Linked DNA regions of Oryzias latipes. The protein of the gene in region 3 purifies or fractionates together with the protein of the main gene of each other region. This does not show direct contact. Links are inferred from orthologs where the notes say so. Each region holds a gene or a part of one and is shown on either strand. Other genes may lie near its edges.

Region 1 (4,197 bases), on a different chromosome or scaffold from region 3:
CGGATGATTTAATCCAGGCTTACGTCTAACTCAGCTTCCTTGCACAAGCAGACATGATTTTAGCTGGATGTGGTGACATAATCCTCTCATCGAGGAGATCAACTCCAGCTAGCCCTCCAACGCAGGATCCAGATAGTTCCATTGAACTGAAGTCTTCCACAACTTGAGGAGACTTACAGAAGGTTAGTTCGTGTCAAACATACCCTATGTCATCTCGGTAGACACGGGAGATCAGGACCTCCCCCTTGTGGTTGTAGATAAACAGTCCTCCAATCATTGTGGCTGCCTCTCAAACACACCTTGCCATGATGAAACCAAACACCACCTGGCAAAAAACAGAAAGGAACGACATGAAGGCAGTGGTCCCCAAGCTTCCCCCCCCCCCCCCCCCCCTCACAAAGGTGTAACTCTCAGAATATATTTTATTTATGGAAAATCTTCAATGAATCAATAAAATCTTTAAAACAGAGTTTATAAATATAGTTTTTTTTACAAAGCACTAAATTTATACAAAATAAAAATTAAATGAAGAAATGTGATTTGTGTATCAAAAAAGGAAGAAAAAATTGTTGGTGTAGTAAAGAATAATACCACACAATGTGTTTTACTTCTTATACATATTCACCTTGTGTTAAAGATCTCATTTTTTGTTGTGATCATTTTTGCTGGGATCTTCATATGCATGATTGAAAAATACAAACATGTATTTAAATCTAGTACCTTTTTGGGGTACATATCTACAACAAAATATTAAGGCCCCATACAAGTAAATAAAAATTAAGTACAACAAAAAAAAAAAATCAACATTTACAAGAACAAAGTCGTAAAATTATGAGAGCAAAGTTGTAATTTTACAAGAAAAATGCATCCTTTTTGAATATAAAGTTGGTTTTAAGCCTCCATCCATAGTCATATTGAGTATCTACCTGAAAACTACTGACATGGAGGATTAAAAATTAGCCAGGAGAAGTGAAAGTGAGGGAGTCACCGCTGGTGACACAGAGACACATTTGTCCCTCACATCCTCTTTTCTCTCTCATCCTCGTTTCCCTTTTGCCAGCTGACTAATTCCTGCAGCTGCACTTCTTCCATTCGGACTCGAAGGAAGCAAAAAGATGCACACACATATCCAACACGCTGACTTGATGAGGCAATGGATCTCCATACTAATGAAACGGCAGTTCTTTTCCTCCAGTGACATATTAGATAGAAGAAGAAGATTAGGAGCTGTTATGGGTAGTTTGTTTCCAAGTTGCCTCTATCCATCTGTTTTAATGCCCTCCCGCTAGCTTACAGCTATTCACACCTCCAACCCAATTATTGGAGCAATAAAAACGGCGAGCACTTTTGGAGCTGTCCAGCTGTCCAGTGTTGAGCCAGATATCAGTTCAGGCGAGGAAAATGCAGACATGCATGGATGGATCTATTAGTCTGCAAGTGGATGCATCAAAATGTAGCGGAGTACAGAGCTTGTGGCCCAATGATTGCAGCACCTACTTCCCTGCTATGAGCATTTTCCAATGGAGTTTTTTCGTCTGCTCCTGATTCACAGCAATTTGAATATAGAAATACTCAAACACAATTTTAAGCTCAATTTTCTTAATGTACGTCCTCTATAATCAGAAAAGTGCCACAAGTCAAGAACATGTTAAAAACACAATTTTAATTGGAGTGGGTCTTTGATGTGTCACTTAGCCGAATACAAATGCTCATCAATTTAATTTAGATAAAAAAAAAAAAAAAAAAAAAAAAAAAAAACAGAAGTAGCAGTTTAAGGTTTAAAAAAATACAAAAAGTAACTTAAGGGCTGCTGGAGACAGGAATTTCTCTCTGTCCCTCCTTTTTTCTCTCCTTGATGATAAGAATGAACCTTCTGGAAACCATGAAGGACATTTCAAATTCCTCGAGCAGAAAATCCAAACATCGAAAAACCGACACTATGGGAGACTTGACACGTTAGCTGCAGGATTAGCAGCATGTTTTCCGCTTAAACACCGCTAAGTCGTGACTTAACCATCCGCACAAAACCTGAAGAGATTTAATCGCCTCTTTTTTCTGGCGAAGTCAAGATGTCTGCTCACTCACTGGGGCCATTTTCATACAGTCATACATTTCAAATGTTTGTAGAAAAGCAAGGGCCAAGTTTACCAGTAACGTTTTGTTTAAACAGTTACGTGGACGCAACACAGCCGAGTGTTTGTTCTTCGGTAAAAGCAGACTGCTAATTTAAGCTAATTTAGCTAGCGATAGCGGGTTAGCAGGCGATGGCTTCCAGTGAAATACCGTCGTGCATGGCGAATTTTCAAACGGAATATCCGGTCACAAGTACTACAATTCTGCGACTTGACAGGTTTTCTACACAAAACGGTTACGTGTTTGTTAAAACAATCAATGTCGCTCGTTCGACAAATGTGTTTTAAACATCTCATGCACACGCGGCAGTTTCAGCGTTTCCACAAAATGGAAATTACTTCATTTCTGTTATCGTGTGGCTAACTCCTGCTAGCTTGACGTTAGCTAGGCAAATAGCTGCTAACGTTAGCATAGAGGGGAAAGCGCTGACCTGCTTTTCGCGAGTCACTGGGTTCTAGCTAATCGTTTCGTTCCGGATACAACGACAAATTTGTCAACTTACCTTGGTCCTCTCACCAACACCAGGAGTTTTTCCCTTCCCGCCTGGTCTTAAATATAACGTCTGCAGAGCAGAATCTCTGCTCACACACCCGCTGCCCCGGTCCCCCGATAACTGTCAGCTGACTCGCCGTCCTTACGCACGCCTGTTCCGCTGACAGGAAGAAAAGGCGCGGCCAGTACGATGGCTGGGTGTTAACCGCGCCCAGGCCTGCCTAGCAGTTGAGAAACTACACGAGCTGTTCATCCAATGTAGTTAGAAATGTGTATTTTCAAACTAGTTTATAAAATAAAGCGATAGGCCAAGCCTTGAGGAATGTTCCCAATCAATCGCACCAAAAAGACCCAAAGATATTTTTTTACTTTGATTTCGACCATTTTAAGTCAAAAACAATTGTTGGTCAATAATCGCCTGCAATTTATAAACAAATTGATCTCAAATAATGAGCAATATATAAATTTATATAGTTGATTATAAAAGTTAAAAGTTTTTCACTCATAATATATTCGTACTTTTCTGTGTAATGTTTTTAAATCTGCTTTTGTTCAACCTTCATTATATCATTTGTTTATTCACCTGAAGTCTTAAATTCACTGCTTTGAAATGCAATCATGACCTTAAATATCTCAGAATGACGGAATTTATCTGACCAGTTTCTTTAGTGCGCACAAAAACACCACACAAACACACAGATATATCATAAAACTATCTTTATAAATAAAAAAGACATTTCTTTCTCAGTAAAAGAGTAGTGTGAAAAGTCTGATAAGAAACATTTTCTACTATACAAAACAGGTTGATGATTTTCTGGTAAAGCAGCTGAGGTGTTGTGTAAAAATGACTATAGAGCTAAACGCTGAGGTTAAGGGTTAGAAAATGATGAATATTATAACACAAATGCATCATTACTGCAAAAAAAAAAATTCTCCTGCACTACTTTTTTTCCATTTGTGTTAAACAATTCAAAGATCTGACTCAGGTTGAGTTCTTTTAAACTTCTGCTCAGTTTCTTCGGTTGAGGTCAGAATTTAGGTGCACAAACAAGAGAGGGAGGAAAAAGGCTCTTTTTCTCATTTCTGATGTACACTATGAGGACATGTAGTGTCAGATCAGGAAGGCAGATGAGAGGTTGGAAGAAATAGAAAACAGCAGAACACATTAGAAAACATCTGGAAGCTAAAGCACTTCATCCTCTTCCCCAGCAGATCGTTTCCAAGCCTCCCTCCGTTCTCTTGTTTGTTGTCCTTGCACAAAACGTCTCCCCGCATGGAGCAGAGGCTGTGAAAGGCGCTTTGGTTCCAGGCTTTGTTTCTTCACTGAAGAAAGTATGACGCTTATAACTAAATGACTAAGAACAGAAGCACAAATGAGGTGAAGGTTTTTCTTTTGGCATGCAAAAAATGGACTGCTATAAAGGAAAGTGAAATCAAGGCCATAGTTTCCAACTTGTTAATCTCCCACTCCCACAATGTCACGCTGTCCTTCTCAGCCTTGTTATTTGATAAAGTCCAATCTAATACTTTCTTCTCCAACAGAAGGCTACAGTCACATCACATCGACAAAGA
Region 2 (4,207 bases), on a different chromosome or scaffold from region 3:
ATGAGCAAAGGAATGAAGTGGTCGATTTCTGCCATGTCCACATCGCCTTTGTAGTTCCGACATATCAGCACCTGAGCAGAAAGTAGAAAAGCACAAAACGCTGTCGGTTGGGGATAAAAGACAAGTCTGACAAGCCATGTTCGGAATAAAATATGTGGGATAGGAAAGCTTTGATTGGTATCATGTAAACCTATTTTTCATTAAAAAAAATAGCCAACGCAAAAAACTGTTAGATGACCAACCAGCTGACGAAGCTGGACAAAATTGTATTTTTGATTCCTAAACTTTTTTCAAACTCTTCAGGGAAGTCTTGGGCACGAATCATAGGTCAGTAGGGTTCATGTCTCTACTCGGAGACCAATTACAAAAGCTTTACTTCAAAATATCGGCGTGCAACTTTTCTGGAAATATTTTTACAACATCTTCATAAGTTTTAAAACTATTGTTCATTAGAATATGCTCACAAAGGAGGCAACAGGAATAATTCTACCTTTGCAACACATAAAGCATGCTACTTATGGAGTCCTGCAAATGCACTTAGTTTAGAATATGGCATATTTTTGTATAGATTGATTTCCTGTTTTGGCATCTTGACCCACACCAAAAAAAAAGAGCAAATTGAAAAAAAACATCACAAATAAAGGCTGCAAACATCATTGCATGGCCTGCAGGCAGTTCCCACGCTCGCCGTAGTGGCTGACCAGCTGCTACATGACCCTCACTCATCCCCTCTGCCTTTGCCACCGTGGTCAGCGCTGCGCGTGGCAAATTTACGAAAAAACACCTTTTTTAGAATGACGGCTTTTTTGTTAGTTTTATCTCCATAGCAACCATATAATTTTTGGGTCTGCCTGGGGGTGATGAACAGATCTGTGTTATATTTAAAAGAATCTGCGAAAGTAAACTTTTGGTTTTCCTTGGCAACTGAGTTTTTTTGTTTGTTTGTTTGTAAACCACGTCAACATTCCTAATTTGTTGATTTTGTATGTTACGTCGTTTCGTTCAGCCAAAAATTCTTGAATTAAATTTCTACATTTGTAAGCTCACTATGCTAATGCTGTTCAGAATCTACAAACTTTAAAATCAACTTTTTTGATTTTTCAAATGGCTTCCTAATGATGCTTGAGGAGTTAAGAATGAAAATAGGAAAATAGGAAAATTTCTAGGACTTTTTATTTTTAAAAGGTGATTTTTTTTAAAGAAAATTCAAGAAGGCGGCCTGTGCCACAGGTCAAAGGTCAACGAAACTTCGGTGGAGTTGCAGACTTAGGTTGTGTCCGAACTCCTTTACTACTCACTATATAGTTCACTATATAGTACGTTCACCATTTTGTAGTGTTGTCTGAATCTTCAATACAAAAATCAAGTGCTTTAGGAATTTCACAGAAGCCTCTGCGAAAAACCAGTGTGCATCGATGGTCACTAGATTGGTGAATATAGACAACAATGTGTTGCGTAGGAACAATTTTTGCCCAAAAAAATTGTATTTAAATGTATTTTTTTAATAAACCATCAACGTTTTTGTATTCATAAGACAGTGCATTCACAAAACGATCATTTCAATTATATTTTAACTTCGTGAAATCCATGACAACATATTCGCCATAAAAAAAGAAAAGAAAAGAAAAGAAAAGTAGTAAGCATGGTGTCCGAATTGCTTTTAAAATCCAGGGCACTACATAGTCCAGTACTATATAGTGTTTTAGTAGTTAGGGATTAGGGTGGGAATTCGGACAGAGCTGTAGTGGGGTGTGTGAAAATTTTTACTCATATTGTGCGATAATGGCCGCCAAGTCGTAGGTCTTGTGGCCATCCCACAATACTTTCAAAACTTCCTTTGGGTATCCCCCACAGGTGTGCTTTGTTAGTGGATATAGAAATATTTTTTGAGCCTCAAATAAGATTTTGGCCCCATTAGACACTTTCGCACACTGTCATCTCTTTTTTTTTTTGGTGGGGGGAAATGCTTTACTATGCCCATTAATTAATTTACATGCATTTACAAGGTGCAAGTAAATTTTAAGGAGATTATGAGCATGTGGCGGGGGCAACATTTTTGCTCCAAGGTGCAGTAAAAAGAAGAAGAGTCACGAAAACGATATGATCCCTGCAGTCCAGGACTGCTAAATCAGACTTTGAAGCAGACCAAAGCAGCTTCCTTTTATTTTGAGAACAATGGCTTTCACATTTCCCAGTTCCACTATGCAAAGCAGCCCTAAACTTGACACCTGCCCCCCACCCCCCACCCCACACACGCAGCAGCAAAACTGAAAACCTGCTGCGGGTCTCTGAGGAGGCAGGAGAAACGCTCCGACAGGATTGCATGTCACACAACTCCTTCATGATCTTGGCGTCAGACGCCCCCTTTAACACACTCGATCTTCTTTAAGCCTTTGCGAGGCTCCCACCCACACCCGCAGGCGCCCTGCAGATGCTGCGCCAGCTGCGCACCGAGTAGCAGCCGCTAAAAACCGGAAGTGGAAAGAAGCCGTGAATGAATAATGATCCCGACGCACGCGCGTCATTACATTTTAACGAATACATGAATGTTTAATGGCTGAGGAAAATGACCTGAAGTCGGTTCAAAAGTTGCTTCGATGTCATAAATAAATAGATAAAGACATAAATGTGCGTGTTGTCCGTTAAAACGAGAGTAATAACTTAACCCCCGGTGACGATCTTTACCTTTCCCTTCAGGTCCAACACAAAAATAGCTGAGGCGGACATCGTGCTCGAACCTGCAACTCTTCACTAATAAGCAAACAACTTTCAGCTTACGGTGGTTCCGTCTTCCCTTTCGCTATCAAACCCCAGAGAAAACCATAAGTGGGAGAGCAGTCCGCCGAGGCAGTTTTTTTTTCACCTCTGAGAATGTCGTGACGTGGTCACGCAGGTGAAACATTAACCTCACCTGAACGCGTGGACCCGAAGAGGCTGTGCTGAGCAACTTGACCACAAGAGGGCGCCACCGAAGCAGAGTTGGAAAATCAGGTCAACAACTCTGTTCAGGACGAATGTCATTCATACATTTAGACTTAACTATGCTCTTTATATGACACAATAGACCATTTATTGTTGGTCTGTACCAAAACACAAACATTTTACATGCATAACTGCAAAACTGGTTGGAGCTAAAGAAGTTCCCGTGGCTCTAGAGATGATACAATTGGAATCCTTCTACCAAACAAAGATTCCTGAAAAGAAACCCCATTTTCAATCTATTTTTCATTAATCTGGAAATGTGTATAAAATCCTTCAAATATATCAAAAGATATATAGGAAAAAATATACAAAAAGTTAACTAAAACGACATTTAAGATTTTTTTTTTGGGGGGGGGGGGGTGTTTGTTTGACACTTAAGCTTGTTATAAAGATATGTTTTGATTTTTGTTTTTTGATTTTTTGTTTAATTTAATTTTAGTTATCTTCTCTGCCTAATATAACCTTGAAAAAAAACTACGTTTGGGGCTTCTTTACAATTTCATCTTTTTTAATCTAAAAAATATGATAAATTTGCTCCCTTAAACTATTCGCCACAAATACACAAAAATATTTTTAGTACTCAAATAAACATTTTTTTTAGAATTTTTTTTGGAACAAATTAGAATTTTGTGGATATAAAATAGTATATAATGCAGGCATATTTGTTTTTTGTGTACCCTAATTTGCAATTGGTGGGTACAAATGAGTATTTTTTCAGTGAACAAATTCATATTTTGTATCATATAGGCACAAATTATTATTTTCAGCGCACATATTAGCATTTTGCCAACACAAATTTAGATTTTGTGAACACAAATTAGCATTTTCTGTTCACAAATTAACATTTTGTATCCATTTTGTGCACATAAATGAGCATTTTGTGTGCACAAATTAGCAAAGCATGCATGCAATTACTTGAAAAAAAAATAGTTTTACGCCACGCCAAGTATCAGGAATAAACGCTCACTTTGGGTAATCTAAAGCATTAAAGGATAAGTTAATAAAAAGTCTTTTTTAATCAATGTAAAATATTGCTGAATTAATCAAATAAAAAGCTAATATTAGAAATACCAGGAAATGGCTTTCCGAGTATATGAAGACTACAGCCCTGAGGTGGTGGAACAGAGGAAAGTTTATAAAACTGTGATGTCGGACATGTATCAGAAAGGCTTGCGGCCCTCTCTGCTTTACCCAGCACGGTTACGCATCATCAAAACGGATGGCA
Region 3 (3,651 bases):
AACAGCAGCATAGCTCCCAAATAGCCTATTCGTTTGTCTGTGAACTTCTGAGACGCAATTAACTTCAGACACTCCAGCTAAAAGACAAACAAACAAATGACAGAACATGTTCAGAAAACCCAGCGGTACCTAAAAAGCTGCCCCTCTCAGTTCCTCTGCTGCCTTTATCTTACACACCTGTCCAAAGTGTGCTGGGTAGCCCAACATATGCATATACAGCAGCTTTGCCACATTTCTGCAACGATACGTATTGTCTTCCTCTCTAAAAGAAGAGCGAATAGCAGCACACTCCTTCTGGATCATCTCGCGCTCCTCTGCCTGGGTCCGTGCTGTCCGGATGGTTCGGATCAGCTCCCGCAGTCTGATCGGAGCTGGCATGTTCTGCCAAACACACACAAAAAAAGATAAGAGGCACCTCATGGTTAAAGGCTAGATGACATAAGATGCAGGGCATTAGACAAATCCTCTTTTTATAGGTTTAATTTCAACATTTTTTGGCATAGATATGTATTGACCGCCAAATAAAAAAACAGTAAACATTACATTATTGTCTTAGAACATAGCTAAGGTCTAAATGGAACAGACTTCTGTCAACTTTAACTGTGACAAACCCAGTTCAAAATAAAGAGCATGGACAAGTTGCAATGTTTTTGAAGTAAACAAGTAATGGGTAATGTTTGTATTTATGATTCAGGTAAACTACTATGAAATGTTGGCGCACAACTGCAACAACACTTTTGGTTTCATACTAAGACATCCGGAGAACAGCAGCAGTGTTTAGTAAGAAGAAAGATAAGTTGGGCTGCAGAGTAAAGCAGCACGTCAGAAAAATAAATATCTTTTTACAATTTATTCTAAAGCACTAAAATAATATCATCAGAGATTAACATATCGAACTGCATTTGTCCATCTATACACATGTACAAAGCAGGGCTGTGTGATTCATAGATTTAATCAATTAATTCAAATGTGTTGTTTTAGACTATTTATTTAGGGGAACAACAAGATAAGGGAAAAGGGTGATTTTTCTGTAAATCTGCTCCCCTTTAGTAAATCTGTCCTTGTTTTCTAAGCAGGTCTGAATCTGACTTTACATTTGGTTCAGACTACAGGTGACTGACTAAAACCCCTCTTCTCATGGGGAGAGCAAGAAAACAGAAACAACTAATTTATGATTAAAAATAAAATATTTCATAAGCAGAGAGCAAAGATTGATTACAAAATCAATACAGGAAATCCTTAGGAAAAAAATGTTATTTTTATCTGATGTTTTCATTACGTTGTGACTTGCTCTCTGGTCACATTAAAGGTAATATCAATTTTCTTTTAAACAACACCTATAATTATTTTTTTTGCAAAATAATGGAATAATTTGGTTGATAGATTTTTTCATTATCTACCAGCCAACTTGTCTGATGAGTCAAAAATGAGATTTTGGTCACTGGGGTTGTAACTTCAAACTTGGAGCATCAAACACAGCTATATCCGTTTCAAGGCCGTTTCTACCAAAAATGCTCTGCCGAGTGCATTCTAGTGATGCACAAGCCAGCGGCAGCTCACAAAACATCTGCTGCATTGATCTGCAAACATTTTTACAGCTTTGTGTTTAGCTGAACTTTGTGTTAGAGCCAAATTCCAAAGGAGATTTTAAAATAAAAGTTTTTGTTAAATATCTCCCATCTGTCATTTTAGTTAAAGAACGTAAAAGCAGAGAAAATTTTTTCGATTAAAATAGAAAATTAAATTTGTAATGAAAAAAATCTTAGATTTTATTGCATTTTATTATCGCCCAGCTCTAGTTGCAAGTGACTTTTACTAGCAGAGGTCAGTGTTCACTTTTTCCAGTAGGTCATATGACATGACTAATGATTACTTTTGTCCTGCATAGTATGCATGTTTTTTTTTTCCTTTTGGTGCAAAAAGTCTTGTAAAAATACACCATCCCAATCGCAGGTAAGACTTTCAATATTTAGAAATTAAAAAGTGGTGACTACAGTATTGTTAGAAAACAAGAACCACAGAAATGTTCAAGTGAACAAGGAAGTAAAACAAGTTTAAAAAAGGGGGAAATTAAGGCAACATTTTAACATCATTGTGATGGTAATGAGGCAGCTATTGTTAAAAATCCAAAAAAGACTCAATTTACATAACACCTCAGGGGTTGACATAGCCCAAAAATTTGCACTGGCCCACAGGGCCAGTAGTTTTTGAAAGTTACTGGCCCGACACCGCGCACAGCGAGACCCGCCGCTCTGCAGGTGCTTGCAACTTTAGGGGGGTCCGGGGGCATCCCCCCCCCCGGAAAATTTTAATATGGTGCAATTTGGTGCATTCTGGTGACATCTAGCACTTATTTATACACTTTTCAATGACTAAAAATAGAGCATATTAAACTTAAATCTGCTCTAGTCTGTTTCAGATGTTTTGAAGAGAGCGCTGCAGTGAAGTAGTTAACACTAGTTAAGAAGTTTTCATGCTGCTTCTAATCACTGCTATTTCACATTTGTTCCTAATCAATAGTTAAGCAGTTTTATTGACTTTTTTGCTCTGACTGCCTTAAGGTTCTGCTTTTTGTTACTGTTGCAAAGTTACATTTACTTTTTAGTTACTTTAGTTAATTAAATTAAATAATTGAAAAACTAAATTAAATTACTGAGATCATTCAGCTAACTAGAAATACTTACTGCTTACAGTGTTGTAAAGAAAATCAAAATGAAGTACTTAGACATTATACTGCATTTGAGTCTGAGATTCAGGTATTTGGAGTTGCCTTTGATTCTTTGACATTCAGCTTAAAGCTTAGTGCATACAGTTTCATCTTCAATGCATTCATTAAATATCTTGCTGTTCATAGCACTAATTCCACCCGTCACTCCATCTAACATATTCCTATCTATTCCTGCCATGTCTTCCACATCTCTGACATGCTTCAGTCTCTCTTCAGTGACGGTGTTGGATTTATGATCATCGCGGTGAAAAACCACCAGGGGGCGCGCGCTGATATGTGTGTCAGTTTAAATATATCTGCATAAAATGTAATAATAACCCACTGGCTTGTTCCTTCGTTGTTGCTGTTTAACATTGTTTAGTATTGAATTGTTACATTCAATAAAGTTTGAAAAAAAAATTGAGTGAGCGCGTGCCGCGTGGTGCTCGGCAGTGACAGCCGCGCGCGCAGGCGGGAGAAGAGGAGAAGAGTGATAAAAGGTTTCCCATAGAAACCCTTGAAGTCTGAACACAGGACTAGCAGAAAAAGTGAATTATAAAGACGAGGTAAATCTACACGTTTTCGCAAAATATACTTTATTGAAAAGGGTGAAAAATGTATTAATTGTTAGATATTTTAGTGGCCCGAGCGGACAAGTAAAAAATAAAGTCTTGTGGTCCGTACTGCTCGAAAAACAGGACCGGGCCAGCGGACAAATGGCTATGTCGAGCCCTGCACCTTTAATCTATTTGATCTCTCAAACACTTTTACACAAGTCCAGTTGCAGGACAAATGGACTTGAAAAGGTTCATCTAAAAGACATGTCGCTGCTCTTCTAAAGAAGCTACAGGGATAAGCAACGAAACATCATCCAGACTAACCTTTTAAAGTCCAAATGCCCTGAAGAACTAAATCCTGCAATATCCTGACCTAGATGACAGAGA

Evidence for each region.
Region 1: the proteins of ap1g1 (region 3) and ap2m1 purify together in Homo sapiens (affinity purification with mass spectrometry; 3 studies listed by BioGRID and IntAct, counting the BioPlex papers as one, with this or other methods). This does not show direct contact. The link is inferred for Oryzias latipes from reciprocal best matches to the Homo sapiens genes AP1G1 and AP2M1.
Region 2: the proteins of ap1g1 (region 3) and ap1m2 purify together in Homo sapiens (affinity purification with mass spectrometry; 4 studies listed by BioGRID and IntAct, counting the BioPlex papers as one, with this or other methods). This does not show direct contact. The link is inferred for Oryzias latipes from reciprocal best matches to the Homo sapiens genes AP1G1 and AP1M2.

The regions. Positions count from the first base shown.
Region 1 is NC_019875.2:21,533,992-21,538,188, reverse strand, and holds the start of ap2m1 (AP-2 complex subunit mu), read right to left. Parts: upstream 2,851-4,197; 5' UTR 2,636-2,850; intron 326-2,635; 5' UTR 278-325; coding exon 204-277; intron 1-203. Other genes in the region: dvl3 (segment polarity protein dishevelled homolog DVL-3), read right to left, coding at 4,178-4,197.
Region 2 is NC_019859.2:10,449,707-10,453,913, forward strand, and holds the start of ap1m2 (AP-1 complex subunit mu-2), read right to left. Parts: upstream 2,884-4,207; 5' UTR 2,728-2,883; coding exon 2,686-2,727; intron 72-2,685; coding exon 1-71. UniProt on the Homo sapiens protein: Subunit of clathrin-associated adaptor protein complex 1 that plays a role in protein sorting in the trans-Golgi network (TGN) and endosomes.
Region 3 is NC_019861.2:21,112,560-21,116,210, forward strand, and holds part of ap1g1 (AP-1 complex subunit gamma-1), read right to left. Parts: intron 382-3,651; 5' UTR 379-381; coding exon 178-378; intron 78-177; coding exon 1-77. UniProt on the Homo sapiens protein: Subunit of clathrin-associated adaptor protein complex 1 that plays a role in protein sorting in the late-Golgi/trans-Golgi network (TGN) and/or endosomes.